Linked DNA regions of Astyanax mexicanus. The protein of the gene in region 4 purifies or fractionates together with the protein of the main gene of each other region. This does not show direct contact. Links are inferred from orthologs where the notes say so. Each region holds a gene or a part of one and is shown on either strand. Other genes may lie near its edges.

Evidence for each region.
Region 1: the proteins of fkbp5 (region 4) and cdk4 purify together in Homo sapiens (affinity purification with mass spectrometry; 3 studies listed by BioGRID and IntAct, counting the BioPlex papers as one, with this or other methods). This does not show direct contact. The link is inferred for Astyanax mexicanus from reciprocal best matches to the Homo sapiens genes FKBP5 and CDK4.
Region 2: the proteins of fkbp5 (region 4) and chuk purify together in Homo sapiens (co-immunoprecipitation; 4 studies listed by BioGRID and IntAct, with this or other methods). This does not show direct contact. The link is inferred for Astyanax mexicanus from reciprocal best matches to the Homo sapiens genes FKBP5 and CHUK.
Region 3: the proteins of fkbp5 (region 4) and prkaa1 purify together in Homo sapiens (affinity purification with mass spectrometry; 3 studies listed by BioGRID and IntAct, with this or other methods). This does not show direct contact. The link is inferred for Astyanax mexicanus from reciprocal best matches to the Homo sapiens genes FKBP5 and PRKAA1.

What each region holds. Positions count from the first base shown.
Region 1 is NC_064431.1:16,098,079-16,105,885, reverse strand, and holds the start of cdk4 (cyclin-dependent kinase 4), read left to right. Parts: upstream 1-4,741; 5' UTR 4,742-5,008; coding exon 5,009-5,011; intron 5,012-7,101; coding exon 7,102-7,322; intron 7,323-7,807.
Region 2 is NC_064414.1:37,826,371-37,834,594, forward strand, and holds the start of chuk (inhibitor of nuclear factor kappa-B kinase subunit alpha), read right to left. Parts: upstream 3,055-8,224; 5' UTR 2,543-3,054; intron 1,156-2,542; coding exon 1,051-1,155; intron 856-1,050; coding exon 761-855; intron 671-760; coding exon 553-670; intron 422-552; coding exon 352-421; intron 250-351; coding exon 161-249; intron 77-160; coding exon 1-76.
Region 3 is NC_064408.1:16,914,602-16,922,376, reverse strand, and holds the start of prkaa1 (5'-AMP-activated protein kinase catalytic subunit alpha-1), read right to left. Parts: upstream 3,257-7,775; 5' UTR 3,108-3,256; coding exon 3,011-3,107; intron 1-3,010. Other genes in the region: kyat1 (kynurenine--oxoglutarate transaminase 1), read right to left, coding at 6,834-6,893, 7,580-7,666, 7,775-7,775. UniProt on the Homo sapiens protein: Catalytic subunit of AMP-activated protein kinase (AMPK), an energy sensor protein kinase that plays a key role in regulating cellular energy metabolism.
Region 4 is NC_064412.1:16,106,304-16,114,356, reverse strand, and holds the start of fkbp5 (peptidyl-prolyl cis-trans isomerase FKBP5), read left to right. Parts: upstream 1-4,973; 5' UTR 4,974-5,067; coding exon 5,068-5,162; intron 5,163-8,053. UniProt on the Homo sapiens protein: Immunophilin protein with PPIase and co-chaperone activities. Component of unligated steroid receptors heterocomplexes through interaction with heat-shock protein 90 (HSP90).

The DNA.
Region 1 (7,807 bases), on a different chromosome or scaffold from region 4:
AACACAAGAACAAACAACAGCTGCAACTGTTATATTTATATTATATAAAATTATTGTACAGTACTATAAAGACAAGGGGTGGGCAATTAATTTAACTAAATGGCAGCTTGACACTGGGACTATTTTTAGGGCTGGGTCAACTGATTGATCTCAATTTGCCTCAATGTTAATAATCCAGTAATTATATGGATTTCATTAAATGTTATTGGTAAGATATTACTCTTAGTAAAAACATAAATTACATAATTATTTAATCACCATTTACATAAACAACTATGAATAAAATGTCCATGTTTTTCATAAAAAAACAACAACATTAAACTCAAAGCATTATTCCTCTATTTGATTTGTAGCCTAATTTCTTTTTCAGTACTTTTTCTTGTTATGTAAAAGAAATGTATTCAACAAGTGCAGTGAAGTAGGTTCTGTTTCTAAGGTGGATATGTGAATGGCCAGATGTGGCCCCAGGGCCATAAAATCCTTTTTCACTTTAGCCACAATAGCTAAACCCAGATAGCAAAATTACATTAAATAATTCCCTTATTTCTCCATCTCAAATGTTGATCTCCAACATCAGGGTTGATTTATTTATGCACATCAATTTTCATTTGATTTAACATTGATTCAACATTGAGCGTAGTGATGAAAAAGGTGTTTAAATAAAAATCATATTTTTTTATAATAATAATAATAATTTATAAATAAGGTGTCTTTTTGAATTGAAGAATTTTGAAGATGCTTTGCACTAAGACTTTGAAATATTTGTCTACTTATAATACTTATAATATAATACTTAACTACTAATTGAAAACAAAATCATGGACTCTGTAAAAATAAAACAAAAGACTCTGTATCTAATGTTTAACAAATTGTTTTGACAAATAAGGTCCTAAAGTTAATAAATCCTAAAATAAATATATTATGGCCTCGATAAAAAATAACAAAACCTTTAGTCGATTTATTATTATTATTATTATTATTATTATTATTATTATTATTATTATTATTATTATTATTATTATTATTATTTCTGATGTGTTTATTTATTTATTTACTGTAAGGAATATAGGCTGTTCTTAAAGCACTGCTGTATATCAGCCTAGCAACAGCACGCCTCATCCAATCACAGCGCGCCTTCCGCAGTGGGGCGCGTTTTGATTGGCTCCCTGCTGCCACGAAGCGACAGCCCTCTCAACGCACGGATGATGAATCCTCGCGCCGCTTAGATTCAACCAGACCACTGAATTAAAACAAATATTAAATTTAGAGATAGTGGAATATATAATTTAATTAAACTCAGCACACAGAGTAATGTATGTGATCAGAAAGTCGAAAAGCACATATAATAAGGGTTTAAACTGATGGATAGATTTACTCAACATTAAAATAAATTATAATAAAAATATATAGTAATATATGTGTGTTTGTGTGTGTGTGTGTGTGTGTGTTACATTGTACACATTGTACATCAACATACAATCCAATATTAACAGTAAAACACATAGTGATAATAAAAGGTCTATAAGAGTGGTATGGGAGATTTTCAAGGCAACAAACACTGCTGACCTAAAAGTATTTTATTTGCCAAAAACATCTTTATGATCTCCAGGACTTTGGAAGAATATTCTGTTGACTGATGAGAGAAAAGTGGAACTTTTTGGAAGGCGTGAGTCTTGTTACATCTGACAAAAAATGCACTATTCCGGAAAAGAACAAGAACACCATATTTAAAGTCATACACTGTGGTTGTTGCTGCCAAGGGTGGCACAACCAAGTTATCAGGTTTAGGAAGCAAATATATAAATATATATGTACGCATATATACAGCTATGAAGAAAATCAAGAGTCCTCTTTAGTTTATGAATCAGTTTATCTGATTTTGCTATTTATATGCATATATTTGATTAACATGAACATTGTTGTTTTATTCTATAAACTACAGACAACATTTCTCCCAAATTCCAAATGAAAAATATTGTCATTTAGAGCAATTAATTGCAGAAAATTAGAGATGGCTGAAAAAAAAACAAAAAAGATGCAGAGCTTTTAGACCTCAAATAATGCAAAGAAAACAAGTTCATATTCATAAAGTTTTAAGAGTTCAGAAATCAATATTTGACAGAATAACCCTGTTTTTTAATCACAATTTTAATGCGTGTGTGTGTGTGTGTGTGTGTAAACAGTCACTTTTCGTCTGGAATAAATAAATCTCTATGTATCTCTATCAATCTTTTTTTAAATAATGTTTATATAAATCGCTCTCTCTCTCTCTGAGCTGAGACTAATACAGTCAGTGTCTCTTCATCAGATGAGCTGATTTTTTTTATGTCTCGATCTGACAATAAAAATGTCACCTCTGATTCTGCTGTTGTCCAGATACACGTGCATTCTAATCACAGAAAGTATAATTACCACTGAAGCAGCTGACTGGTGCTTGGCCACGGTTTGTGTGACTTTATGGAAATGGACTGCGCCCTGCATCTATTATTAAGGCCAATGCAACAGCCAACCAGCACCATAACAATGGGTCACAGCAACCAGATGAAAATTTATTAGTAACAACCAAGCAACACCTTAAAAACAATTAAAAATGTCCTGACAACCGCTTATCAACACACTGACAGCTGCATAAAACATCATAGCAGATCATAACTGCTATAACAATACTTCAAGCTGCATAGTAACTCTGAGGCAACCATCATGAAACCATCCTAGAAACTACTTAACAAATGCTAAACAACAGCTGGAGTAGCAACCAAAAAATACACCTTTGTAACCTCAAAGCAATATCCTAGGACCCATGTATACAGGAACTAAAATATTATATTCTACTAACAATTTAGCAAGAATGAAACAACTGCCTAAAAACACCATAGCAACAATCAAAAAATGCCATAGCAATCACATAGCAACTACCTGTTTTAAATTAACCAGCAATGTTGATGTCAATCGAAATTTCTGCTTATAAATTAAGATTATGTTTTGACTCACAGTGATGCTACTTAATTGTTTAACTCAACTTCAACCTGTATTACATACTGCATACAAAAGAAAACTTCTTTAACTTTCTTTTTGTATGTTTCTTGTTTTTTTTTGTTTTTTTTTTTTTGTCTTAAGAATGATTGTAAACAATCCATAGTCCTAACAAGCTAATTAAGGTCTTGGTAAAAGTTATCTGAAAGCTTTTTTTTTGCATTTATTTTTTATTGAAATTTTTACTACATTATTTTTCATTTTAAACTTTATTCCTTTTGAAAATCATCTTATATTCACTTGCAACATTCCCCTGTAACAGAACAAGGATGAGCAGGGGTGCCCAGACCTTTGAACGCCCCTCTTTTTGTTTGCTGTTAAAATTTTTAATTGTTTAATATATTTTGTTTAATTATTCATGATTATTTTTAATATCATTACAAATGAAAGATTATTACCAAAGAAGAAATGCTAAGAGAGCACACTCCTCTATTTCTTTGCTTTTAACCCTAAAGGAACTGATGCATCACTACAGGACTGTGTGTAAATGTGTGATCATGTGACATTATTTACAGAGGTGTGCTGGGTTACTGCTGGAGATAGTTCATTTTAAAGGTGTATGTTTTGCTATTGTATTCATCCATTTTAACAATTAATGTTTGAAACCCTATAAGACTAATTCTGAGAATTTCTAGAACAAAATGTTAAAATCCAAAAAGTTATGTCATTGCTTCATTTACATTAAATAATATATTTACAGGCAAGTGCCCATAATAAAAAAAACATTAATGAGTTGCTCACTTCTTCTTCTTCTTTTCGTTTCTTGAAGCTTGTTGGTTATATGATTGTTTCCCATTTCTTTACACAGTCTTTTGCGTTTTTATTGAATATGGCAAGATCTTTTAAGCTGCACTGATTGTGTAGTAGGGGCAAACAAGGCAGTGCTGCATTGTGTGGTCCTCTCCACATTCACAGGTGGTTTGGCCAACTTTGTAGTTGCTCACTGAATATATTTGATTACATTTTGAATTGGGCATCAGTATTTAGAAATTAGTCTGGGCCCTTATTGTTTTTTTTTGTAATATCTAAATTTAATATCTAATTAGATTTAGACCTAACCTAACATTCCAATAACTCAGTAATGTTAGGTTGCCTATCATTTGGATATGTATACACACTTACAACTACAGCATTACACTTTGCCATAAGTTTATATAAAACACAAGCCATTTCTGATGTTAAAAGTACATAATTGTGCAAAGATTAGCATAATAATTATAGTAGTAGTAGTAGTTGTTGTTGTAGTAGTATATTTTACAGTGATGCACTATATAATCACAAACCAAAATTATTTATCAAGAAAATTTTTTTGGCTAAAAAAATTTCTGAATTATGTTCAACAGCACTATACATAACTGCTATAATTTCTTTTTTATGTACTCACCTGTTACTAATTTTGCATTGTAATAATGATAATTAAAGAAAACAGCACTTTTGGTGTTTGGCCAACTAAGTGAAAAGATTTATGATGAACACTGATATTTTCTTTGCAACAAAAAACAAACAAACAAACAAACAAACGAACAAAAAAGTTTTATTATTTAAACCAAAACCCCTTAACTTCTATCACCTGCCTGAAATCGAAGTGGGCGTGGCTAGCGCCTCGGCCCAGCAGTGGGTGTATGTGGGTGGGCTGACCCCGCCCATTCAACCAGCGCTCCGCCCCTTTTACTTGCTTTATTCCACATTTAGGCTCCGCCCCCATGACAGGACCGGAAGCATCTCATTTTCACAATGAGTTCAAAGTGAGAAGGGGAGAAAAGTTCGAGAAAGCTGAAAAAGCGTAAAAATATTTGCGTTTTAATCGTTAACGCTAAAAATACCGAAGCGCGCACGCTTAACCGGGTTGGATGGAGCGCGCGGGGCGCGAGGACGCGCAGATGTGATGATTTGGGGTGGTTATTGGGTAATATTGGGGTGATTTGTGGTCAGTCTGGCTGGAGACAGCGTGCTAGTTTGCTTCGCAAACAATACGATGGTAAGAGCCTGAACTGTTTATTAATTCGATGTGTGATTCGGTTTGTTTGTAATTTTAGGAGATATTGTTGTTTTTTAACCAAATGTGTGTCTTGCAATTACGCAGCGTCCTTGGGAGTCTTTTAAAGTGTGTGAGCATGTGCTTGGTGATCAGATTAATTGATTAGTTTGATTATTGATTGGTGATCAGCTTTGGTAAGATCCCATTCTTACTAATTAACAAAGAGCCCTCCGAAGGCCACCACGTGTTGAGGAAGGAGCTGGTTAAGGCCAGTCAGTGCACCAATGGAAACACTAGGCCTTTCCATATCTTTTAAACAGAAATAATCATGAAAATATATGTGATATAAACTCATCTGTGTGTTACCTGAATATTTATTAAATGATAAAACGTGTTTCTTATTAATATACAACTTTAAAGAGCTAAAATAGCGCACAAAGCTACTCTTAACTTCGGACTGTCTGTTCCACCTTAAATGTGCAGCAGTTACATTCAAGCGCCATCGGGGCGTCTGATGTGCAGTGACGGCAACTGCTGTACGTTTAAGGTGGAACGGAGAATATAAGGCAAGAGCCAGTTATGTTTAATCAAGTTAGCAAAGTGATTTTAAGTCTTCTAAAAATCCTGTTCTTTGTACGTCATTATATAATCACCGCATAACAGCAAAATACAACTATGCCAGTGTTTTCTAAACAGTACAGAGCTTATATTTAATCAATAGACGAAAACAATGGAGAAAAACTGGTTAAATAAGTTAAAAACTTTAAAAAGAAAAACTGTAGTATAAGTTGGTAAAACATTTAAGAATTAACAGCTTAAATTTATAAGTTTTTTTTTAAATGTGTAAAAAAATAAATAAAATAAGCTAAAACTAGCTATAGATTAAAATAAGTAAAGCAAATAAGCAAAATAAGTAAAACAGTACTAAGTAGTAAAAGTAATGTAAAATAAAATGGTTACAGGCAGAGTAAAGGTAGTGTGTGCAAATGATCTACAATTACAAAATATACCCCACCACAGTCAATGTGTTTGTTTGTTGGGAAACAACATTAAATGTGATAAACAAACTGTGTTAATCTGTAAAAAGTGATTATGGGGAAGGTGTGTTTTTGTTTGTGTGTTTGTGGTGAACCTCAGGAATGTTAGGTTGCCTGTCACTTTGGAAATGTACACACACTTAGCATTTATTAAGCATTTCAGTATTACACTTGGCCTAAAGGTGTTTACATGCAACACAAGCCATTTCTGCTGTTATAAGTACATAATTATGCATAGTTTTGCATAATAATTATGGAATAAGTAGTATTATATTTTGCAGTGATGCACTATATACTCTCAAACCACTAAATTATTTGGCAACCAAATTTTTGTGGCCAGAAAGTGTCAAAGATGTTCAACAGCACAATGCATATCTGCTATAATTTCTTTTTGTACTCACTTGTGTCTAATTTTGCATAGTAATAAAAGTGATTATTGTTTTTAGGCATTCGCCGAAATTGTTTGGATGTAATTAACAAAAACAGCACTTTGGTTGTTTGGCCAAATAAGTGAAAAGACCAAAGAATTGATGTTAAATAGTTGTATTTTCTTTGCAAAAAAACAGGTTATTAGGACAAATAATTTAGAAGTGAAACAAAATATCGAAAATACCAATAACTACATATATTGTCATTTTAGTTTGCAATACATTATCATTAACCAGTGTCAAACATTGTTTTTATTAAAACGTCTCACAATTTGACTTAATGAAGTTACTTCTTCAGTACTCCACCTGATGGTCCTAATCAATATATTATATTATATTGTGAGATCCCATATGATTTGCTATTCAGCTTTCAGTCAAAGGTTTTAATTTTGGTTTAGGCCAAAAAATGTCATTTTGCATCCTTCATATCTTTTTATTTGTCAGTCTTACTGGTGTTTATAATGACCAAGAGAAATGTTCCAAATATCTGTTTCCATTATCTTTCCTTTTCTGTAGGCTTGAAGTCTATATTCAGAAGATATTATATTAAGTATTCAATGGATGAATTCAGGTTTACATAAATTGATTGATTTCTTATTAGCTCTTTAATCTCCTCATTCTGCAGGCTATGACCCAGGAGGGCGGGGTCCAGTATGAACCGGTGGCGGAGATCGGCGGTGGTGCATATGGGACTGTGTATAAGGCTCGGGATACACAGAGTGGTCAGTTTGTGGCCCTGAAGAGTGTCCGTGTTCAGACTGACCAGGAGGGCCTCCCGCTGTCAACAGTTCGAGAAGTGGCCCTGCTGAAGAGACTGGAGCAGTTCGACCATCCAAATATTGTCAAGTATGTACTGTCTGATCCCATTTCGGATCAGAATGCTGCACTATGTAACTCTGCCTAACCTGAGTCATGTTGATGTAAAATCCTTTATTATTCCTCTACCACATCAGTCCACTGCTTCTACATCTCACAGCTTGTCCAGAAATGCACGTGTACAGCTGTCCACTATAGTGCAAACAGAGCCAGATTTATATTTACTGCAGTGATTATAATACTCACTTATATTTGCTTTATTTACTTAACGGTCACTGCTTACATCCTGTGCGTTCTTTGTTGAGCAACACATACTGTAAACTAGAGGAAACTTTAGAGTTAACAGATTTTGAGAACAACAGACATGGCGACGGTGAATGAGACAATTATAAAAAAAAAGGCAGCAGTCTAGGCAGCCATAAACAAGCGCACAAGATAAATGTGTATCAGTACGAACAGAGGTCTTAGTTTAACTATTGTGTGGAATTACTCTCCACACCTGTAGGGGGAACCCA
Region 2 (8,224 bases), on a different chromosome or scaffold from region 4:
TTCCCACAAAAGATGTGCAAAGGCTACCTTGATCCAAATCTTTTGCATAGCCCAGATCTATAATCTTGTGTACTAACTAAAACAAGACAAACAAATTATACAAGTTAGCAAACTACTCATTTCAAACTGTAGTTTTTTTCACATATAAAATATCACATACCTTTCCATTAATCTCTTGAAGCACAATGTTCTCTGGTTTTAAGTCTCTGTGAATGATTTTGTTTGCATGGAGATACTGAATTCCTGAACCTGTTAATATAAAAAAACATTTTCAATAACAGTATTTTTGACACATCTGAGTAGAAATGGAAGCAAATACATAAGGATATTATCATAGAGGTGATACATTACCGACATCATTAAGAAGGGACAGCACCTCACTTTCTTTTAACCCACAGCAATTTTCAGGTTTGCTCAACAACTACAAAAAAAAAAAAAGAATGGTATGAGGAAATAAAGAAGAATGGAAAAAGGAAAGTCTTCTTCAAAGCAGGTGACAATTACATGACATGACAGACAGGGCAATTAAAATAAGCTAATGCTTGAGCACACCTTACGAAGATCTCCTCTGGAACAGTACTCCATGGCTAATAGAGGTAAGTCATTCAAGGCAATGTGTTTCATCTCTTCAGGTACATCCCGTGCTGTCACCACATTGATGTGGTTCAATCTAGAAAGAGTTAACCAAATATTAAACTTTGCATAAGAAATATATTCAATTTAGAAAGCAAATAAGTAATCAAATTCCTTATAAACTTACTTTTTCATGATCTGAATCTCTCGACTCCATCTGTCTTTGTTTTTTGCGTTGAGCTCAAGCCGGCAGAGTTTCACTGCAATTTTCTCAGCGGTTTCCTACATGAAATAAATATCATTAACTCAACAACATAAACATAATGTAGCTACATTATAGATGATTCAGACATTCCCTTCAAAATATTCTAATCACCCACTACTTCCAAAGCTCTTCACTTGGTCTATTAGGTAGGTACTTGGTGCAGACTTTCCCCACCTACAACCCTAAGCGGCCAAAAAACAAATTTGCTTTACCTGATGTTGGTAAAGATACACATGACCAAATCCTCCGGTTCCTAGCCTCTCCTTCATAGCCCAGGGTCCACATACTTGAGTCTGTTTGAAAGGTGGTTTGTCCATCTAAAGGGAAAAACACTTGTTACTTAGGCCTGTCATAATAATTGCATTATCTAATTGCACAATATGTAGACATGCATATGAACATAACCTCAATATGTTTACGGAATATAGCATGTATAATTGTTGAGCCTAAATGTATGTTATATAAACACTATGTATGTTCCTGTTCTAATCAATAGTACTGATAATTAAAACGTCATTGCCATTCAAAGGGTGGTAATGCATTATATGTGACAGAGTAATATTGTGCCTTTTATTTGCTGTGAAGCCTAAAGATTATTTTTTAGATTTATATGCTTGCACTTAAAATGATTCAGTACAAAAAAAGTCAAGTTAGGCAAGTTAGCTAAGCTACTGTTTACTAAATAGACAAAATAAGTTTACAGATTTGTTTTGTTTCTGCTATATGCTTAAAGATAATAACTACACTTTCATGAAATAAAACTTAAAGGATTCCAATATTTTGTTGCAGAAGTGATTTCTTGCAATATTATTTAACAAAATATTACTGTTTTTCATCATGCCAAGAATATCACTACCGGAAAAATACCCTAAAACGTCGCAATATTATTTTCCGGCATGTTTCACTTCAATTTCTGAATCAGTTTATCTGATTTTGCTATTTATAGGTATATTTGAGTAAAATGTAAACATTTAATTTCTGTTTTAAACTACGGACAACATTTCTTCCAAATTCCAAATAAAAATGTCATTTAGAGCATTTATTTGCAGAAAATGAGAAATGGCTGAAATAACAAAAATATGCAGAGCTTTCAGACCTACAAAAATGCAAAGAAAACAAGTTCATATTAATAAAGTTTTAAGAGTTTAGAAATCAATATTTGGTGGAATAACCCTAGTTTTTAATCACAGTTTTCATGCATCTTGGCATGTTCTCCTCCACCAGTCTTACACACTGCTTTTGGATAACTTTATGCCATTCCTGGTGCAAAAATTCAAGCAGTTCAGCTTGGTTTAATGGCTTGTGATCATTCATCTTCCTCTTGATTATATTCCAGAGGTTTTCAATTTGGTGAAATTAAAGAAACTCCTCATTTTTAAGTTGTCTGTTGTTTTTTCGAGAGCTGTATGTAGTTAGTATCTAGTTAGCTAAGTTACCTAGTGTTAGTGATTTAACCTAGGTTACCTCGCTAGTTAGCTAACTAACAGCCTGAGCGACAGCTCAACACACTTGTATGTTTTGTATTTAGTCAAGTGCTATAAACAGCGAATTAATAAATTAACTGGTTAACTTGTGGAGTAATATTTATTTCACTTAGCTAATTAGTTAGTTAACGCTAAGCCTGACACTTCATTATCACTTATAGCTAACCAACAAGCGCTAACGTTAGCTAGCTAACTAGCTTAGCTAGCCAAGTTATCTTACCGCTGCCCGGTCTGGTCTGATTCACCAATCTGTGTGGCTAGCTTGAAAGTAGCCTGTAATTTGTGATGTGAAGATAATGTGCCAGATGTGAAGATAATGGAATATGTCAGTTCGTAGAGAATAACGGCGACATCCATGTCATCCTTGCGAAGCCCCGTTAAAACGCAACGTTACTGCTATTAACGTTACTTGGTAAACAGCGAGCCAGCTAGCCGCGTTAGCGTTAGCCAGCTACACGTAAACAACTTGGGGTAATGCAGCAGTCAATTAGGTAACCGCAGCTAGCAGCGGAGCTAGCTCAGAAAAGTCAGCCTCACACCAGCACTTCTCCCTGAAACACCAAAACCGGCCCAGATAACAGCCGCTAAACAGCACTACGCTACAACACAAAGCTTAAAATCGAGATTTCTTCAACGACTAAAGGAACAAACGCTGTAGACCAGCGCCTCACATACAGCTAACAAACTGGCTAGCGCTAGCACTCGAAATCGAAACAAGCTTAGTGCGCAGGCGCGCTGCAGACTACCGAGTTGCCGTTTGAGCTGATCAGAGATCAGTCTCCTAACGCAAATCCCGCTCTTTACACATCGCCCATTGCTAACAGAACCGATATCAGGTCAGCAGTACAACCTGATCTATCCACAACAAGCCACGCCCAATCAGGGCACGCTCTGCTCATTAGACACGCCCACATCGACACACCCACTAAATAGACCCGCCCACTTCAAGGCGCCCACTTAAACTCTTCTATGTCTCCGTATTTATTATCCGTATAATAATAATAATAAAACTTCAAAATAACAATTTCTGCATAATAGGTCCAGTTACAGTAGCATCAGCTAAATTCTTAAGCCGTATTCTTATGTCATAGTAGATAATATATGGCTGTCATATATTTTAGGAATTATGATAACTTTGTGTTATCAGAAATAGTTGTTACATAAAAGTGATTCCTGTCATCCCATTCAAAGTGCACTAAAAAGCCACATTTGGTTGCGGTTGGTTTAGTAACAGCATACACCTGCTTTAACTCATTAAGGAACAATGAGAAAAAATACAGTATAGCACACATGACGTGACACTGAATTTGTGATAACAGTTGCATATACAGTACTTTTATTAAAGTAATGATGGCAGTCACAAAGAAAAGGGGGGTTATATTGTACTTACCGTTGTTGTCTGATCAAGGGCTTTTCAGTTCGTATCCTAGATCATTTAATTCAATTCAATTCAATTCAATTTTACACAATTGGAATTGCTCTTGAGGGTTGGTAGGTGGCACTCTTTCACCACGTCACTTCAGTTGTAATTTTCATCAGCACAGACAGCTGTTGGCAGATGTATTAGATCTGGGGAGCTGCTGGTTACCCAGTAATGCTCCATCAATGAAGTCCAGACAGAGGCTGTGTCTGACTTTACATGTGTCAGAGGAGGCATGTGATAGTCTTCACTCTCCTAGTGCTGGGGGCATTGCTTGTGATAGGGGAGTTTACATGAACATGGATTGTGTAATTGGCCTTCCAAATTGGGAATAAAATATATTTCACTAAACTCTTTAGTAAGATCTGTACTACTATTACTAGTTTTTATATAAACAGCCAAAATCACCAATTACAAACAATGGCCTCTTTGGACCATCTTGTAACTTCTTAAGAACCTGCTTCATCCATAAATAGATCACAGCACAGCACTTGAAACTGTGGTAGTGGGTAAGATTTTAGTTTGCTTTTTTGAATCTATAAATACTGTATACAATGGTGTAAAATATTTGTTGCCCCCTCATGATATTTTTTGGCATGTTTGTCACTCTTAAATGTTTCAGATCATTAAACAAATTGAAATATTATTCAAAGACAACACAAGTAAACAGAAAATGCAGTTTTTAAATTAAAGGTTTTTATTATTAATAAGGGAGAATAAAATCCAAACCTACATGTGAAAAAGTATCTAAGTTTTGAGTTCATATGTACATAGTATGAGAAATGTAATTTGAGAGCCTGCTATTTTTTGTTAGGTTTTGTAAGTGTGTAACTTTACAAATTCAAACTACAGTGATATTTAGTTTTAACTTCATCAGATCATTCCGCTGCACCAAAATCATCAGGCTGATGCTTTGTTACAAAACTGCAGTTAAGGTTTCTTAATAATAATAATAAACTCGGTATGTACTTTTAAGCACAAGCTTGTATTGCCAAACATTTCCTGTAAGCAGCATCTTAACACCCAGAGTGTGTATATTTGGCCTTCTAGTAAACAAGAGGTGAATAAGTCAAAAGGAAACCACCCTTTTATCTGTCTTCCAGGAATATATTCTATTCAGGGCTTTTTATATATATATATATTGCATGCTGATATATTTATGTATAAGATATGTTAATCTGCAAAGAATGGCTATTATAAAGAGTGGCCATTAAACCCTTTATATTTCTGATGCTAACAGAGATTGTATTAATGAGGTGACCGGCCACTGGTAGATTTCTCGTAATGCTTATCGTGGTATCTGTTGATGGATGAAGCCCTACCCTTCAACAAAAAGAGCTAATCAGCTTGCTGATCAAAGGAGGGCCAGTGTTTTAATGGGAAAGTTCTCCTCAATGTGGAGATCTGTGCAAGCGCAGTAGCTGGAACAAGCCGAAAAATCACTTTTTTCAATGTACATGTTTTGACATCAGCTTTTCAAAACAATGCTGATCTCTGGCCAGCTGTTCAGATGAGCATATTTGTTGCGGTGCGGAGGCAATAACACATTATACAGCTGCTCCTCAAAACTTTCTATCCTGTCTAACCTGTATGAACAAAACACCAAACGAACAAACGAATGCAGGATACATGAGGCAGACATCAAGCATATGCAACATTAATATTAACAGTAACAGTAACATTACCATTAACAGTAATATTAGGTGTAAGGCTAACAACTAATTAAGTCACTATGGCCATTTTATACAAATAACAACAGATTACAGAGTAGACAGAGTGTCTGAACAATTAACAAGCCGAATGCTACAACTCAGCTAATGCATGTAATGAATAGTACAGTCCTGCAAATGGTCTGTTTTAGCCAATGCAGTCAATCATTTCAGTCCTTAGCATAAACTTGTCTGAGCTAAATAAGGTAAAAAAAAATAATTTCTGGAAGAAAATGATAGAAAATGAGTCAATTTTAGCACAATGAACAGAACTAAATCGTTTTTTCTATATACATTCATCGGCACTCATGAAAAACATTTTGTTCTTAAAATATTTTTTCATTGTCCAGAGAAATATTTCAAGTGTGAGAAAATTATGTAGCCTCCCTTTTCTCTCTATTCGAATTTCTCTGAAAGTGGTGCAGGTGTGATGTGTTAGACAGGAAAAACGGAATTGCTGTGAATTCGCAGTGTGACAGCCTCCCAATGATTCATGCACACAACAGCTGTGTCACACAGCAGCTGCAGCTCTGTGTGTGTATGTGTGTTATAATTCCCCTTTTTAGATTTTAATAAATACAGTACTTTAACTTGTAGATGGCAGTAGAGGAAAATACAAAACACACTGAATATAAAACTGAAATCAACAAGCAGCCACAAAACAAACTCCATTTCGTAATTCAGTATTTCTAAAAACATTTACATTGCAACATGCAACAGACAAGTGCAGATTAAGAAATGTTGTATTATAGGTAAATGTAGAATGTCTTTTGATACAATTAAAGAGAAAATCAAACTGTTTTTGCTGCTAAGTCCAATCAAAAAGGATGACAAAACTGTCATTATATTATATTGTATGTATTGGGTCGCTTCAGATGACCAAGATTGAGTTTAATAATAAAACAAATCAACATATATAGTATAGTATAGACAACATATCCAAATACAGTATATTATGTGTATAACATATATAGTAAATAGATACTGTGAATACATACATATATTTTGTATTATAGTGCTAACAACTGAAACCCATAAATAAAAAACCTCCAACCGGATCTATGTTAGACATTGTATTGCACATTCCCCCAACCACTGAATTGCACTGTACAGACAGTATTGCGCAGTTTCCTCAGAGTCTGGCTTTTATATCTTTTTTTAACTGAAGTCGGTACAAACCTGCTTTTAGGATGGTTAGGTTTAAACCTGAGTGCTTCTTACCTACATACCTAACTCTGTTCAAGAGAATATGAGCTGAATACACAGTAACATTGTTTATATTACATAACATTACATTACATTATGTTTGGCAGACTCTTTTGTCCAAAGTGACTTGCAATAGTGATGTACATTTAGCAATAGAGGACATAGAAGTCCAGACAGACAGATAGACAGACGGACGGACGGAAGGACGGACGGACGGACGGACGGACGGACGGACGGACGGACGGACGGACGGACGGACGGACAGACAGACAGACAGACAGATAGATAGATAGATAGATAGATAGATAGATAGATAGATAGATAGATAGATAGATAGATAGATAGATAGATAGATACTTTATTGATGCCTGAGGGGAAACTTTGGACATCCAGCAGCAGGTATACATAGTACACAAGTTACAAGAGAAGGATAAGATAAAACAATACATATAAAAAATCAATAAAATATAAAGTATAAAAGAACAGGAAAGCGAATAAGGAAATGAGATTAGAGGTAGTTAGCTTGTTGGGGGTTTTAGGAGAGTAGGTGCTCTTTGAAGAGCTCTGTTTTCAGGAGTTTCTTAAAGATTCTTAAAGCAAGAAATTCTCCTCTTCTGGCATTAAAAGGTAGTTTGTTCTACCATTGGGAAACTATGATTGCTTTGTGTGAATGTATGGCGGTGTGAGAGAACTAGGTGGGTTTAGAAATAAGGAATAAAGCAGAAGGTTGTTACAAAGATTGTTACAAAAGCAGTGATTCTTAACCATCAGTTCTTGGGGCCCACCAGCCAGTTCCACATATTTACACATAAGCAAAGATGTAACCTTTAAATGGGCCCCAAGCCAGGCTTGAGAAACATTAAAGTTTGGATTAAGCATTTAAATCAGCTGGATTTGAAAACACATTTTACAGATATTGAAACCATGGCCTTGAACACACACTCTTACATTAGTGAATCTGGGTAGTGGGAGCACACACACACGGAATGATGGGCAACCACCTCCACAGCCACAGGAGTCAGGTGCTTTGCTTATGGGCACATAGGTGGTGTCAATGGTTAAAGAGCTGGGGTTCGATACCTGGACTTGGCAAGGTGCCACCATTGGGTTTTCATCCCACACTGTCACATGTTAACATATGGGTAGCTCACTCTGCGTTCACACTGGAAACAACAACACAACAGGTGACCATTCATTTCCTATGGCAGGGCGCGATTTGTCGCCGTGACAAACAAGAGGCGACAAGCGATAAATGTTTTTCAACTTTATGCAAATGAATTATGACGCTGTGAATGCTGTGGCAGTCAAACCTGATTGGCTTCTAGCATTTCTTTGGACCAATCACACACAAGGCGGTCCGAGGTCCTCAAGCTTCTGCTCTCTGAACTTTTGGTTCCTTTCGCATTCGCATTCACCCTGTCTTATTAAAATCTATTTATTTTGAACAATTTTTGTGATTTTAATGTAGTTAACAAATATTTCTTTAGGGCCGTTGAAGCAATACAACATTTTGTGCCTTTTTTCTTGTCAGAAGCTGGACCATGATACACACGCGCACTGAGCTTTG
Region 3 (7,775 bases), on a different chromosome or scaffold from region 4:
AACAGAAAGTGCTCAAGATGGAGAGAACAAATTGTTCATATTGATTTAACCAGCGCTCAGGTAATGCATTAACCTGGCAGCCAGTCAACCAAAGCAGAGTGAGTCACTGAGGAGGGTAAATGGCCTCCGGTTTGCAGAGCCTTTTTAAGAGTGAGACTACAGAACCTATAAACAAATAACCTTCTCTTTGGCCACTGAAATGATCCTCTCTGGCTTTGAATGTGGCTTAGACAAACATGCATGAACTGTAAACAGCAAAGCATGCTGTGAGCAACCATCTGGGTTAAAAACACAAGCCTACATAGCACAAACTCTGAGTTTTCATTAACTAATGGTTCATATAACTCTGTTATTTAACATCTATTTAATTCTCTATTAACTATTTAATCTAAAGAATAACTACAATAGGGGTAAAAAGTGTCTTTGTCTGCAAAATTAAACAGATTGCCAATAGAACAGTGATAATATTGTGTAATTCGTTAGTTGTAGAGGATTCTTCATGAAGAAGCTCCTATATTTATGAAAAAGTAAATTACCATAGCCTAGCTAAGTTACAGCCTTCATACATTACTCGTAATCTCATGTAATGTTTCTTTGTTATGAACACATGAAATTAAGCAGTAAATGAAAAAGCATTTGGCCTCAACAATTTCCCATTTTTAACTCAAAGATGGTTTGGAATTAGTTGAACAGAAAGACGTGAAAGAAGAGCAGCCAACAAGTAAGTGCTCAGGACCTCTGAAAACTTCTTCAAAACTGTTGGACAAATAATTGAGGTTCAACCTCATGAGGTGAACAGAGAGAAAACCCAGAGTTGGCATAACTGTCATCAAAGAATATGGTGCATCTCTGAAGAAATATTTAAAACATATCATTGAATGTTTAACACTTTCTTTGTTTAGTACATATTTCTATTCATGTTTCTTCATAGTTTTGACAGTCTTCAATACTAATATTAACATTCTGGATTTAAAAAATTAAAACAGAAAAATTTAATGAATTTGAAAGGGGTGCACAGTACTTACTTAATATTATTTACCATTATTTTGTTTTTAAAATAAGTAAATAATAATTACTAATGCACTTACTTAATGCACCTAGTCTAGGCAGCAGCTGTCATCAGCAGATAAACAAAAAGGTAGTCTTGGATACAAATTAAAACATACAACACCAGCGCATACACAGAACAATAGAAGACTTGCAACTAAACTAGTGGTTTATACAGGCTGAAGTAGGTACAAGAGCAACGCTTAGAGAAAAGAAAAAGATAAACATGTATTACTGCTAAGTTTAAAAGTTGGAGACAGTAAGTCTAGTCATTTAATGGTGAGTGTGTGGCATAATCCACCACCCTTGCATTTCACACTGATTGGATGAGTTCAGATGCCTGGATTTAATCACTAACTACAGTTTACACAAAAGAGAGCAATTGAGAGACCCTCAGAAAAAAAAATCCATCAAACTTCCAATACTAAAATCATTCTACCCTCATTAAATGAATTACTCTCAACCACAAACATTTAAAATCATAATTAGTGACCACAAGTAAGGTAAAAATATTCAATCATAATACTTAAAAACATTTTCACAATATGCAATACATAATTCTAACATGCAGATATTAAATCCTACTATCTAAACCTGAACCTATGCTTCACTTAGTAAGTTGTTTAGCACTGAAATAAGGAGCAGGACTTCTTTTAAAGTTAGAACACGTAGAAGGCATGTTGCACCTTATATCAAAGCTGATAGAAAAGATGCTAGAAATGTGATCCTTTGGGGATTCCTAATATATATTAATGCTTAGAGAACAAAAAGTACATAATGATGTCAGCCTGTGTTGAATAAACAAGACCCCGACTCATTCACTGCAGTTGCTGTACAAATACACCTCTGGACACGCTTATGTACTCAATGTATAAGGCTTTTAACACCCTTATATTTTTAATGATATAATTTTCCTTCTGGTTGCAATAGTTAAGCTACTTAGTGTAGATGACTCAAATTATTTCAATAATATAGTTACACTGATCATAAAGCAACGTTTAGCAGTTGAATTTTCTGACAATAGAGAATTGGGTATAAAACTTAATCAAACATTTTTTTTTCATTCAACAGAGTGAAGAAAAAATTGGTTTTCCTCCAAACTGTTAATTATCTAGTTTTTCATTTTAGCCTTTCGCAATCAGAATTGCAAGAAAAATGAAAAGGTAAACCTTCTCTCGATTTTGTGGGGGGGCAGACATAAAGAAATTATTTGGAAAAATGGATGAAAACTTATTTCTTGTACAATAAACTACATAAAAAATAAATAATGAGTTTTTACATCCACTTTTCCATTTTTGCATTTAGCTTCAAACGGTCAGACTTACCTTTTAATTTTTCGTGAAAGGCAAAGGCTGAAGTGAAACTACAGAATTAATCATTTGGATTTCTTCTTTACTATACTGAGTGAAAAAAATGTATGACTACGGTTTATACCCAATTTTCGAATTTTATTTATATTTTCTTAGTATAATTTTCTAATTTCGAATTTAGTTTGATACGGTCAGAAAATTAATCTGCTAAACGTTAAACTGACCGGGAACCAAGTCTGCTTAGCCTAGCTAACCTAGCTCCCGTTAAAACCAGCGGGCTCGCTAACAGATAAAGCTAGTGCCAGCTAGCCAGCTAGTTATCGTTAGCTAATATAAACAACCAGCGTACGGACCCGAAACAGCAGAATAATCAACATACAGCATATAAACAGCGCTAAACCTCGCTTCAAACTACTTAATGCGCGTAGTGTTGACGGCCAGGGAGACTTAATTCGCTTCTGAAAAGCTGCAAACGTCAGTTAACGTTAGCTAGCCTAGCTTAGCTAGTGTTGCTATGCTAGCGGTTAACTAACGCGGCTAACGGGTGGGTTAGTTTCCTTAGCTACCTGAAGCCCCCACTCACTCACTCACTCACTGAGTGATAATCATCATCCTCCGGACGCGGATTTCAGCTAAAAATACACAAGATTTACCTTTAACTTTCCCGAATGTTCCCACTCCCAGCGTGTCTCCGAGAATGTAATGACCGATTTTCACCCTGCCTTCATGCTTGGGCTTGTCAGTCGCCATCTTCCCCACGTTAGCCCGACCGAGCCGAGGCGGCGGGGCTGGGCAGCGGCGGTGCGGATCTGCGCGGCGGAGGGACGGACACGATCACAGCGGAAAGCAGCAGCGATACTACTGAACTACCCAACTACTGCCGAGCTACAGCGGAGCCGGTCTGAGTACAGAGCTCCGCCCACAGTGAACTACTCAGACTGTAGGGGGCGCACTGCAGCCACGGGATTCAAGACTGCTCGATTCAAGATTCGACTCGGAGTCGACTCTGAGTCATAAGCGTGTGCCAAAAACTATGGCTGCGTCCAAAAACTTTTCTAATTCCAGGTCTTATTCCATCGTTTTTCATTCAAATGTCGAGTATGAATGAATGCTGAAGTGCTTCAGTGTTTCTGTATAACCCTGCTTTATTTCACTGGATTAGTGGTCTCTGAAGAAGGACAGGATTTCTGCTCTTCAAGTCATGTTAAGAGACTCTGATTCATAAGCCTTGTCCCAAACCATGGACAATTTAAAACTGTCTAGTTGTGGTCTCTAGTATGAATGAATGCCATGTGAGCCCTTTTTTTGTAAAAAAAAAAAAAAAGTATTAGTGGTCTCTAAAGAAGGACATGATTTCTGCTCTTCAAGTTAAGTTAAGAGGCTTTTGTTATGAAATTACGTTCCTCCGGGACAATGGTGCAAGATCAAACAACAATACAATAGACAACATAGAGTGTGTGTGTGTGTGTTTGTGTAGAATGATGGGTCGGTTCAGTACAATCTTTATGTGTATGTGAAAAGCAGTGGTGTGGGGGGAGGGGGGTGTCAGATCAGTTCTGTGTGAATGTGTTGGGTGTGTGGGGAGGAGGTTGATCTCTGTGATCTCTGTGAGTTGAGGAGTCTGACTGCCTGGTGGATAAAGCTGTTGCAGAGTCTGGTAGTGGAGGCTTGGATGCTCATGTATCTTCTGCCAGACGACATCAGAGCAAAGAGTCCGTGTGAGGGATGGGTGGATCGTCCACAATGCTGGTGGCTTTGCGGATGCAGCGCAGTGTAGATGTCGGTGATGGAGGGGAGAGAGACTGATGATTCTTTTAGCTGTCCTCACAACTCTTGTCCATGAATATTCATACATGCAAACATATAGCCTTTGATGGGCTAACAGCACTGCAGCAGAGAACTCTTCCTGCCTTCCCCCAACAGTCAATTTTAGAGCTCTAAAACTCGAAGGACAAAATGAGTGCTAGGTAGAGTTAACCCTTACACTTTCCTTAATGTCAGACTCTCAGAGCCCCCCGCGGCATTGGTGACATTTCTTTCAGCTAAACCAACACTAGTAAACTCTTACCTCAGACTTGGTGATTCGGTGCTTAGGCAATTTCACCACGTTGAAGCCCCATAGAGTCTGCTCTATATCATAAAATCGGGTGATTTGACCTGTGTTCTGTCGAGTTGTGCTACCTTGTCAAACCGTGCTTCCCTAGTGTTTATTTAAGGTCTCTGTAAAACGAGGAATCCACCGGAGAGCCAATTTAAACCTACAATTTAAACGCGAACTAGCTGGTGAGGCTATGAATACTATTTCACAAGTTGATGTGGAAACAGATGCTTTTCTTAAACAACAATTTTTCTGAGTATTTTCTTTTCTTAGCTACTGCAAAAATGGAGGTTAAAGAACAGTTCATATGCAGCCTGCATATACAACTCAGAGAGACCTATTATATTTCACAAACAACAAGAAAAAGTGGATTTTACATTAATTTACTATATACCATTGTTTCTTGTGTATTTACACACACAAGAAACAATGTTTTTCTAATTTTTGAAACTCAGATTTTAATGGTTCTTAAAATGTGTCCAAAGCATATTTTTAGATTTGTGCTAAATTATTATCTCATATGGAAACATGTTAAGATTAAACCTCAACACAGATAATTACAGTTAGCCGACATGTTTTATTAGCACATAATACACACTTTTAAAGCACAGGATCTTAATGACTTGAATTGTGCATCAATATGTAAGCAAACATAGAAATAGATTAGTTCACTATTGACCAATAACAAATGAAACCACTTAAGGAGTTTAAGAATCTGAAGCAGCATAAGATGATGCAACATCATGGCAGTATTCACTGTTTATTCTGTATGTCATTATAGGTGTTTTCTAGCTAATCCAGAAATATATTAATGGGTAGGTTAGTTTAAGATAAATCAATTTCACGTCCTTTGTTTTTGCTTTTGGGTTTTAATTTCTGAAGTGTGGAACTATACTGGTTTTGCAGTGAACATTAGCATAGATAATATGTGCAGTACTAATGTGCTGATTGCATTTGAGGAAGGCAGTTCCTTTCGTTCAGAAACTATTGTTACTCCTCCTCTCCTACTCCAGAAGAAGGATGTAATAGGACATTGAATATTGATAAACTGAGCCAATCACAATGCTCTTTTTCAGCTCCCCTAACACTGCCCAGACAATCACAGCTGCTGCAAACAGTCAGCTAATGTAGGGTCATCTGGATAAATATGAATGTTTATTTAAACTTCATTTAAAAATACTACATTTCTGAAATTATGTAAAATTCCACAAATTCTGCTTGTTTTTAAATTCCACAAGTTCAGGTTAGACTTGAGATATCCCACATTAATGCACTTTGTTCAAACTCAATATAGAATTCTACATATAATGAGAAGACACAAATTCAACTTCAAAACATGTTTTATTTTACACTGATCCACCTAATTCCAGTACAACTTGCACACACCAAAATGGCATTAAAACAAACAGGATGGAAAGTAAACTCAACAGACAAACAGACATCTATTTGTACATCATAATCAATAAAAACAGTGTGTCTATTGTATAGACTCACAAATAATCTGTATGAGCAATAAGAAGTTGATTTCTCTAAAGGAGTGCATTTTTCATTCACACTTGTGCAACACTACAGTCAACCTGAAGTAGTTTTAATGAATACAACCCAATGCATACAGCATAAGCAATCAGACTACTGTTGTTTAGTGTGGAAAGTTGCTGGATGGGCTGCTGTGAGCTGAGGTAGTTTAACTAATATTAAACAGCTGACTACAACCAAATCCTGAGAATTAAGCAAAAACATATATTTTTGTGAAAAACAAAACAAAAGATACCTTGATCAAAACTGACAAATGTACATAAGACTGTGTTGTTGTTTAGTACACAATACAACTCTATTAAAATGTTAATTAACTGTAATGTTTCTTTTTGATGGAAGCAACTAGCTCCCTCTGTTGGCCAAACATGTAAAATCACCACATGTAAAATTAACTCCTCCCTGTATGAATGCATGATTCACTTACTCACTAGAACAGTTTTAGATAAGCTGCATCTCAGCAAATACTGCTGACTACATTCTGTTCAGCATAACTTTTTTTTTACAAACATTTTGAAATATAGCAAATCACATGAATCATTATGATACGTATTTCTACCTCAGATGATTCAAAAGTTTCACTTCCCAAATTTCTGTTACGGGTTCTATTTAAGTTTGTATTCATTCAAACAAGATGAATAAAAAAATACTAAAATCCAGCTTTTATTAAACAATTTTGTCAAATATTAAAATATAACATTTTCTAAATAAACACTTTTCTATAGAACTATACTGAACCAGGCGTCCTTGGCTAATTATATTGTCCAACTATTGAGGTCTGCTGTGTGAAGCTCATATTGGACGGCTTTAAATAATCATCTAATGTCTTCAAAAGTGGCCAGCACTCACTGTTTGATTCTCCACTGTTTCAGTATATCTTCTGCTGCCTTCAGTGTTGAGTCCTCCTATTTTAGGAAAAGAAAATTAGAATTAGAAATAGAATTACAAATCTAAAACCATGCCTTTACAATGTTTCAATATACCAAAATATGCCTGCTCTTATTGCCATCTTTGAAGAGATCCCATTACATCAGTGTAAAATGCACAAGATATATCTGTTCTTCTAAAAAATGTTTCAGTGTTTGTCAGTGTTATCACATTTTAATGGTGATACATTTTAATGATACCCTTATAATTTAATTTGGCATAAACAGACAAAAAGATAAAAAATGAACTGCGACTAGCGGTTGAATATCGGAGGTCAGTAAAGTCCAAGATCAACCTTTCTTTGCAGAGACTGACTTCAGTACTTCAGTTGAGCCAACTGACCAACTCACTCAGTGGAACTCCATCACTAGCAAAGCTCCCAACACTAGGAGGATGAGGATCAGCACATGCCTTCTCAAATACATATGAAGTCAGCCACAGTATATTTTTTATCTGCAGCATTACTAGGTAACCAGTGCTCTTAGAGCAATGCACCAGACCCCCATCTATAATATATATTAGCTAACAGACACCAGCCAGCATCACAATCGAAGAAACGAGGAGAGAGAGAGAGAGAGAGCTTGACCAGTTGTGGTCTGGCTCCAGGCACTTATTTAAACAATGCTATTCCTATTACTTCTTTACCTAAAATGAATCAAATTACCTTGACAAAGCAGAACCTAATGTACTTCTGGAAGTCACCACTGTGTTCTTGGCTGTAGAATCCAGATACAGGGATGGTGGCCAAACCCTGAGGGCACATATACAACACAACCTTATACATTTCATTAAACAACTGTAGGTATCTTTGGTTCAAAGGTTGTAATATGTTACATGTCAATGTGATGTATACACGTACC
Region 4 (8,053 bases):
TGGATATTTCGGCAGGGCACGGACAGCCATCCTGGCCGCTGAAATAAAACATATCTCTCTTTATCCGCTGTGTAATGTGGATGTGTGTGTGACCACATGCGGCGCGGAGAGTGTTTTTCAAACAGATTAGTACTGCACATTCTGTTCTGTTTCACTTCCTGATGACTGGGTAGCCTTGTGTGAACTCACCCCACTGCCCATTAAACACAAATGTACCTACAAAACACACACACACACACACACTAAGAGTAATGTATAACCTACTACTGTTGAGTACTACTGATAGTCACCAGTCAGCTACCGATGAATGTTTAACGCATTTAAAAAACACACACAATAAAAGAAATAAATACAGGGCTACAACACAATGGCGTCAGATAAAAAATAAATAAAACTCGCCGTTATTCCAATTGCATTACCATACCTAATTTAAAAGGGTGTTGTTTAACGCACAGGGTGATGTGATCCAGCCCGCCGCCTCCTCTGTGTTTTAGTACTGGTGGGCTTGCTGTGGGGTATTTTGGTGGGATGTACACATTCTAGGACATTGGGTCCTACTGGCGGCTACACTGAGCGGCTATTGGCTAACACAATGGCTGGATGAGTAAACAGGAGGCTAAGCCACACAACAGATAAGCGAGGCAGGCTACCCTGAACTCCGCAATAAAAATGTCTTTTGTTCCGAAGCTCTAAAGCCTTACTCGCTCCGGCTGACGGCTCCGCCATGGACCAGCCGACTTACTTCCACGTTATGAGTAACAAGGACATTTTGTTCCCGGGTGGACTGTCGCTCCGGCAGATTTAGCTAGCTTGTGGTGTTTAGCGCTGGTGATGGAATCCTTTTCACACTCAGGGGGATTCAGGGGGTACAGACTAGCCCATATTCAAGCGTTGCACAATTTTACCCTGCTCCCGAAAACAGGACTAATTTTAACATTTCACCGCTAGACTGTTCTGTTCTGATAGATAGAAACTGTTCCGTTTGGGTTGTTTTTCTCTCTGATAACAGAACAAAAAAAATCACATATCCTCAGCTCCAGATTTGGGGACCCCGTGTTCTATACAGGTTTAACCATTCCCTTCCCGAGCACACCTGACAGTAGCTCAGCAAGGCTTTCATCATCTAAAATATAGTATGAATATTACATTTAATATTAATATTTATATTTTATTAAAAAAAAAAAAAAAAAAAAAAAAAAAAAAAAAATATATATATATATATATATATATATATATATATATATATATATATATATATATATATATATATATATAGTTTTGTTTTTGTGAACTGACCCCTTTTTCTGTTCGGTGTGTGTGTAAGTGTGTTTGTGGGCTATTATGAAATGGTTCTGGCAATAAATTATTTCAAGTGACAGAAAACAGTGGAAAAGCAGTGACAGCGACAGAACCCACAGACATTTACTTTATTTATTTCTTAAACGTATCATGAGGGATTCTGAGGTCGTGTTCTTGCATAGAGGAAATTAACTACCATGAGTACAACATGTACCACATGTTCCTCCCCCGCTTTTTACGTTTTTATCATTGCTATTCTGGGAAAGTTGATTCACGTTTATGTTTAAAAACACAAGCCACAAGGCTGTTTTTTCTGTCTTTTACAACCTTTAAAACCTTTTATTTCAGTTTGGATTTTTCATCTACTGTACTTCTGACCCCAACGTAAAGTGATTAAATTAGTTTAAAAGTGAAACGCTTTATAGAAAAATTTAACTAGGCTTTAATTGCTTAGTACAAGTTCATGACAAGAAAATACAGGTAGCATCCAGACTTGCAAACAGGGAATACACACACACACACACACACACACACACACATATATATATATATATATATATATATATATATATATATATATATATATATATATATATATATATATATATATATATATGAAAGATGATCCTTATCTGTCTGTATACACAGCAAAACTGAAGTCACTGTATTGTAGACAGATGGATATGCATGTAAACCACATGCATGCAGGTACTGAGATTAATAACAAAAAATAGAGCAATGCTTTTACAGGAAGCTTATGCTTATTTTTTATATTTGTTTATATAAAGTATTTATGTTTTAAGTATTTTTATGTGTTAAGTATTATTTTGTTCACATTTGTTTTAACATCATGAAGTAATGACATATTGTTACTTATTTTTGTAGCATGATGTACTACATGTAGAACTACAAAGTGTCAGTAATTAAGGGCAGAAATACAATTTTTATTTTATTAGGACACTCTCAGACACTGTCTACGAAAAGGTGAAGAGTTAAATGGGCTTTTAGATCCTAGAAAATGTGTTTGGAATGCAGTCAGGTGTCTCATTATAATTAGGTGTCTCATAAGTTAGTGCTACTGGAATTCTCAGCAGTCAACTGAAATGTACAGTATGTCATCATCCAAACAGATGGTCGTATTTGTAGGTGGTGCAGTTGCTGTATAGCCTGCTGTCAATTTTAAATATTGAGTCACATCCTGAAAACTAAACTGCTGTCATAGATTCCTTTAAATACTTCAAAGTCAGAGAAAAATAAACATAAAAATAATATTACACTATGATTTAACATAATAACAGAATAGTAGCTTTCCACAATCAGTTCCTCTCCAATTTGTTGTAGAAAGAATCATATTATAATTAAATTAAAGAAAATAAACATTAATTATAGAGGATCATTTTGTGTAAATAAAGATGATGTAAGACAGTGACCTTTACTTAAAAGTTCAAGTCAAAGAATAGCACCTGTGTAGGCCATGTTTTACACTGGGTGTGGTGTACTTTGCCTGACAGTGAAGACACCTCACTGTTCCTCATTACAATGTTTGACTCCTTTTATGAAACTGGCTGTAAGTCTTGCTCAATAACCACCATGTTCTCTTACACAGCACTGTTTTTCATGGTAAACAATCAATCAGTTAAAATCTTGGCAACAAACATGGATCTGATTAGCATGTTTAATAAAATTGACAATTGAGAAGAAAATCATTCTGAATGTTACCAGGTTAATTTGTTTTTAAAACACACACAGCAGGAGTCGGGCAAATGCTGATCTTTGGCCTCACTTGCACAGTCCTGGCAGGGTAATGTGCTGTTCTGAACCTGTGTCCTTGAATGGCTCTGAGTGTTCTTTGTTTAGTTCTTGTGTCATCCTTAATGAGCATTTTGCACACTAAGCCTTGTTAAACTGCCAACTGCGTGCTTAGGCATCAAGACTAGTCTGCATTTGATGCTGTTATCCTCAGTGATGATACGGTGCCTGCAGAAGCAAAGTGTACAGTTTCTGGCAACCTGACACTCGAAAACATGAGGCTCTGTCAAAGTGATACATTGGCATACAATATACCTTTTTATTTTCAGTGTATGAAGAAAAACAAGCTGATTCCAGACCATTCATTATATATTGGATTTGGGTTCATTTTTTATCACTGTCACGAACTTAGTAATTATTGCTTAGACTTTTTTTCACCACAATTAATATAACAGTGAGTCTTGATCTCTTGCAGGACAGTATGACTAAGAAGATCTTAAGGCAGACAGGCTTTGGATTTGAGGGTTATCAGCTGGAGGGGGAAACGTCATGTCTCCTGCTGCACTATGAGAGAACAAACATGTTGCAAATACAGGTATAACTGTGTGTTATTTAAGTTATTATAGTCAAATCAATAGCTATATAGCGGAGGAAGAGTAGTTTTATGCTTTGATAACATGAAATATGTTTACTTATTGAGCTCTGAAAAATAAATAAATGTACTTGCTCAACAGAATTAGTGGAGATTTGCAGATGGTATTTTTGTTTAGTCTAGTTGGCATGTACCAACCTATTTTGATCTACAGTGAAAATTTCACAATAGGCCTATTCACAGAAATCTGATTATTTTCTTGCAGGCCATTCCTGTTGGCACTATACACTCTGCTGCTTTTCCTTTCTTTGAGGCGAACACGAGCACTACGCTGAGGAACACAGGTGTGAGTCTTTTTACAGTCTTCTTATGTTGCCCAGCCACTCATATATATTTAATTTAACAAAGCGAAAAAGAGGCCAGACTGAGAAAGGTGTAAGGTTTAAAGAAAGAAAAACAACAACAAATAAACAAAATTATCAATAAATAAATAATAAAAAATATGTTTTTGAAAGACATAAAAAAAGCCTTTTACTAATACTATTACTGCTAGAAATTAAACTTTATCTGGCTATCTGGACTAAGCACAATGCTCGCGGTGTGTCCGTAGCGCACAGCAGGCTGCGTGAACACGCTGTTCCCTGCGGGAGTCGGCGCGTAACGGGTTACGGGTCAGGGTGTCTGAGCTAGGACACTGTGTTCTCATCACAGCGAGCTACAGTACAGCCGGAACACTGTGTTACTTTTGTGGTGGTGGAGAGTTTACAGGACCTGCCTCTCGGATTTTCGGCCACGCCCACATGTCTCGTCGCCCCTCCCCTTCCCCAGTCTACTCCATGTGGCTCTCCTGAGCGCTGTTGTGTTTTACACCCCACCCATATTCCGACAGGCCACGCCCACATTTGCTGGGATTGGTCAGTAGTCCATGCTAATAGAGGCACACACACACTGAGACACAGCTTCTAGAAGAAATGCGTGATTATTTATGTATTTTAAAGCTTAATCCTGCCAAAAAAGGGGATCAGCGTGTGCAGTCCGTCTTCTTTATTACACTGTGTTCCATTAAAGCATGAGCAGGAGTCTGGAATGGGGCACAAAGGGAGTATCGCACTTAATTTACTTAGTAAAAAGGAATGCAATGGTTGCAAAGAATAAAAAGATACATAAAAAAGAACGTGGACTGGAATAATAATAATGTGAAAAAAACACCGGCCAGTAATTTGGCCCGTTAGTGGACCGCTCGAGCGTGTGAAATACTGACCAATCCAGGCGCCGGGGGGCGTGGCTTCTCGGAATACGGGTGAGGTTAAGGTGAAAAAAAAAAAGACCCACGGCGAAACGTGCCGGTGGAACATTGAGTACTCTCGCGCCGGGAGGGCGGCGTCAGAGCAGCAGCACGCGCATCGCCGTTAAAGCGCTCGCGCTACATGTTGCACTCGTCGCCGGTAAGACTCAGCCAAAGTTACATGCGGATACACACGGAGAGACACATGAAAGGACCCGGGTACAAAAGAGAAATACTGTGAGTATTTTCCTTAATTTCATCATCCTTTAGCTGCTTCCACCACACCATCCCATCAGCTGATCATGTAAACACACAAGCTGGACTGAACTGTAATGGATAAAACGTTAGAACCATTAAATAAAAATCATATCATCATTATAAAATAAAAAGTAAAACAAAATATTACTAGTTGGTACACTTAACTGTTCTCTTTATTTAAACATAACCTATATCCATCTGTAGATGTAAACATATTAAGGCCAAAATGTATATATATATATATATATATATATATATATATATATATATATATATATATATATATATATATATATATATATATACACAGTACTAAATATCAGTCTTTTAGTTAAAATGATCTTTTATCTATCTACTTACTGCAAGAAATTCCAACATGTTATGTATATTATTGAAAATGCATTGTCATTTATGTCATCTGCTAACTTTTCAAAACAAAGAACAATTTAAACCCAACTTATGCACATAATTTTTTATGTATGACATAATTTAAAAACATGCACGAAGCTCATACATGTCCTGCTTTAAGCTGCACATACATGTACAGTTTGAGAGACTGAGGGAGACTGAGGCATCTTCTTAAACACTGATGAGAGGGAGAGAGAGAAAGAGAGTTCAAAACAACTCAGTAAACCCGTCTCTCTCTCTCTGTACAGAGGCTTATGTGGAGACACACTCTCTCACCCAGTGTCCCCATCATTAAAACTAAAGTGTTGCCTACTGTCTGGACCAAGCATTTAATTATAAGCTGTAATGTTAGAAGGATTCTGTAAATACGAGAGGCCAGATACTTTACTATGAACAAAGACTGAAATGTTACTGTTTAGCCTTGGCTTATCTGTCTTCCCAATGAAGGCCAACATTCAAGGATTTCTTTCTTAGACTTATGCAAGTGTGTGCGTATGATAATTTCCCCACTTTTTGCATGCAGGACATACCTGTTCATTTGGAACATTTTGTACAAAGCGGAGAGTAAAGTGACATCAGTGGAATGCTGTGTTTGACACGTAACAAATTGAGCCTTTTGTTTGAAGGCATATAAAGAAGAGTGATGTGTATGAAAATGGAGTGGAATGGAGAGAAGAGATCCACATGTGTGAAGAACATATGTGTCATTTTGTGTGTATCGGTGTGTATGAGGTTAAGCTGTTTTGCTGTTAAGCTGTTGTGTCTTGGTGTAGATGATGTGTTTGAGGACGAAATGAGTCAACAGCCATGTGTCTTCATCTTTGTTCGAGGAGCGTATGCTGAGAGTGAACCACACGAGTGAGAGCTGAGGTCTAATTCAATTATCTAATGAAGAATCATGTAAAGATGCAATGACCTGTATAAGACTTGCTCATGTAGGTTAACACAGATTTCCAGAAAGTAATTGGTAATTGTGCTTACAGCAGTGAGAGAAGCTATTAGGTGTGAGGAATATATATTGAAAAAATAGCCATTAGGTATATGTATATGAGAAAATGTAACCTCTAATGATATACTCTGTTATATAATACATATATTACTTAATTTATATATATTTAATTAGAATATATTGCAAATATTTAATCATTTTTTCCCAGGACCAGATACTGTAGACCTGAATTCAGCTCCTTAAATGTTAATACTGCTAATCCATTCACAGAGCAAATATTTAAATTTATATACTACATAAAAAGACAGAAGTCAATGCTAAGACTGATATTTTTTCTTTGCATATTCGCTAATCAATCACCACCACACACACTAAAAGCTATTTAAAAAAAAAAAAAAAAAAAAAAAAACCAATGCTCACTGGTTATGCAAGACCATGTGATTTTTTAATTGATGAGTGTTAATTGAAGATTTATCAGCTTAAATTTTAGGTACATAATTGAGAAGCTAACATATAATGCTGTATTCAAAATCATCATGCGTCACGTCCAGAGAGCACAGTGGCCACGTCTGAGTTAAAGCTCAGTACTTTCATATGAGTGTGTATCTTCATTTCCATGTGGTTTGAATTGTATTTTGCTGTCATTGTTATCAGTTAAACATATGTATGAATGGGGTGTTTCCACATATATCATGGTACATGTTTTTGCTTTATTTCCTCTATGTGTGTGTGCATGCGTGTGCGTCTGTGTGTGCGGATAAACATTAAGTTCTTTTGAGCAAGAGCCTTGAGTCATAGTGTGTATCTTGCAGGACTGGACTGAATGTTCTCTTCTCTGATGTGTTTTTGTTCCTACATCTCTCTGGTCAGTCCCTAGACGTAATACTCACGAGACACTCATCTTCACTCAATCTGCGGATTTAAACCGTTCAACCTAATTAGCCCCCAAACAGCATCGTGGATGGACATAATTACAGCACCAATTACGCTGCTGGCTTTTGTTTGAGTTGATAGATCATTTTAGGGCAGTGACCAGTGATCATCACTGTCCAATAAAAAACAAATATCTCTAATTTAGTTGATTTTTAGTTTACTACATCATTTAAACACACTAATCTTTTCACTGCGTCAAAATTTCTTGATGAATAGACCAATATTAATGATCCAAAGTTGCATGAAATTAACTCTTTTTGCATTGACTTCCATTGAAATTTAATAAACTGTAAAGTTGCTGTTTTAGAGATAGAGATTGTTTTTCAGTGGACAGCGACAAGATAGTCTTGGGAAATAGAAATCTGAGATCAGAGATGTCTCATGGTTTGGTGGTGTAATAGGTTAACCTCTCTCTTCTGATCGAACCTACTAGGTTGAAATGTTTCTGTGTTGCTTTACCACTCAGAAAACTCACAGCCTGAAGATAAGATCTTGTTTTACCGGAGCATGAAGAGATAAGGTTATACAGATGTATTGATGAAATCTCTGATAAAATCATTTTATGTTGAGATTTAAATAA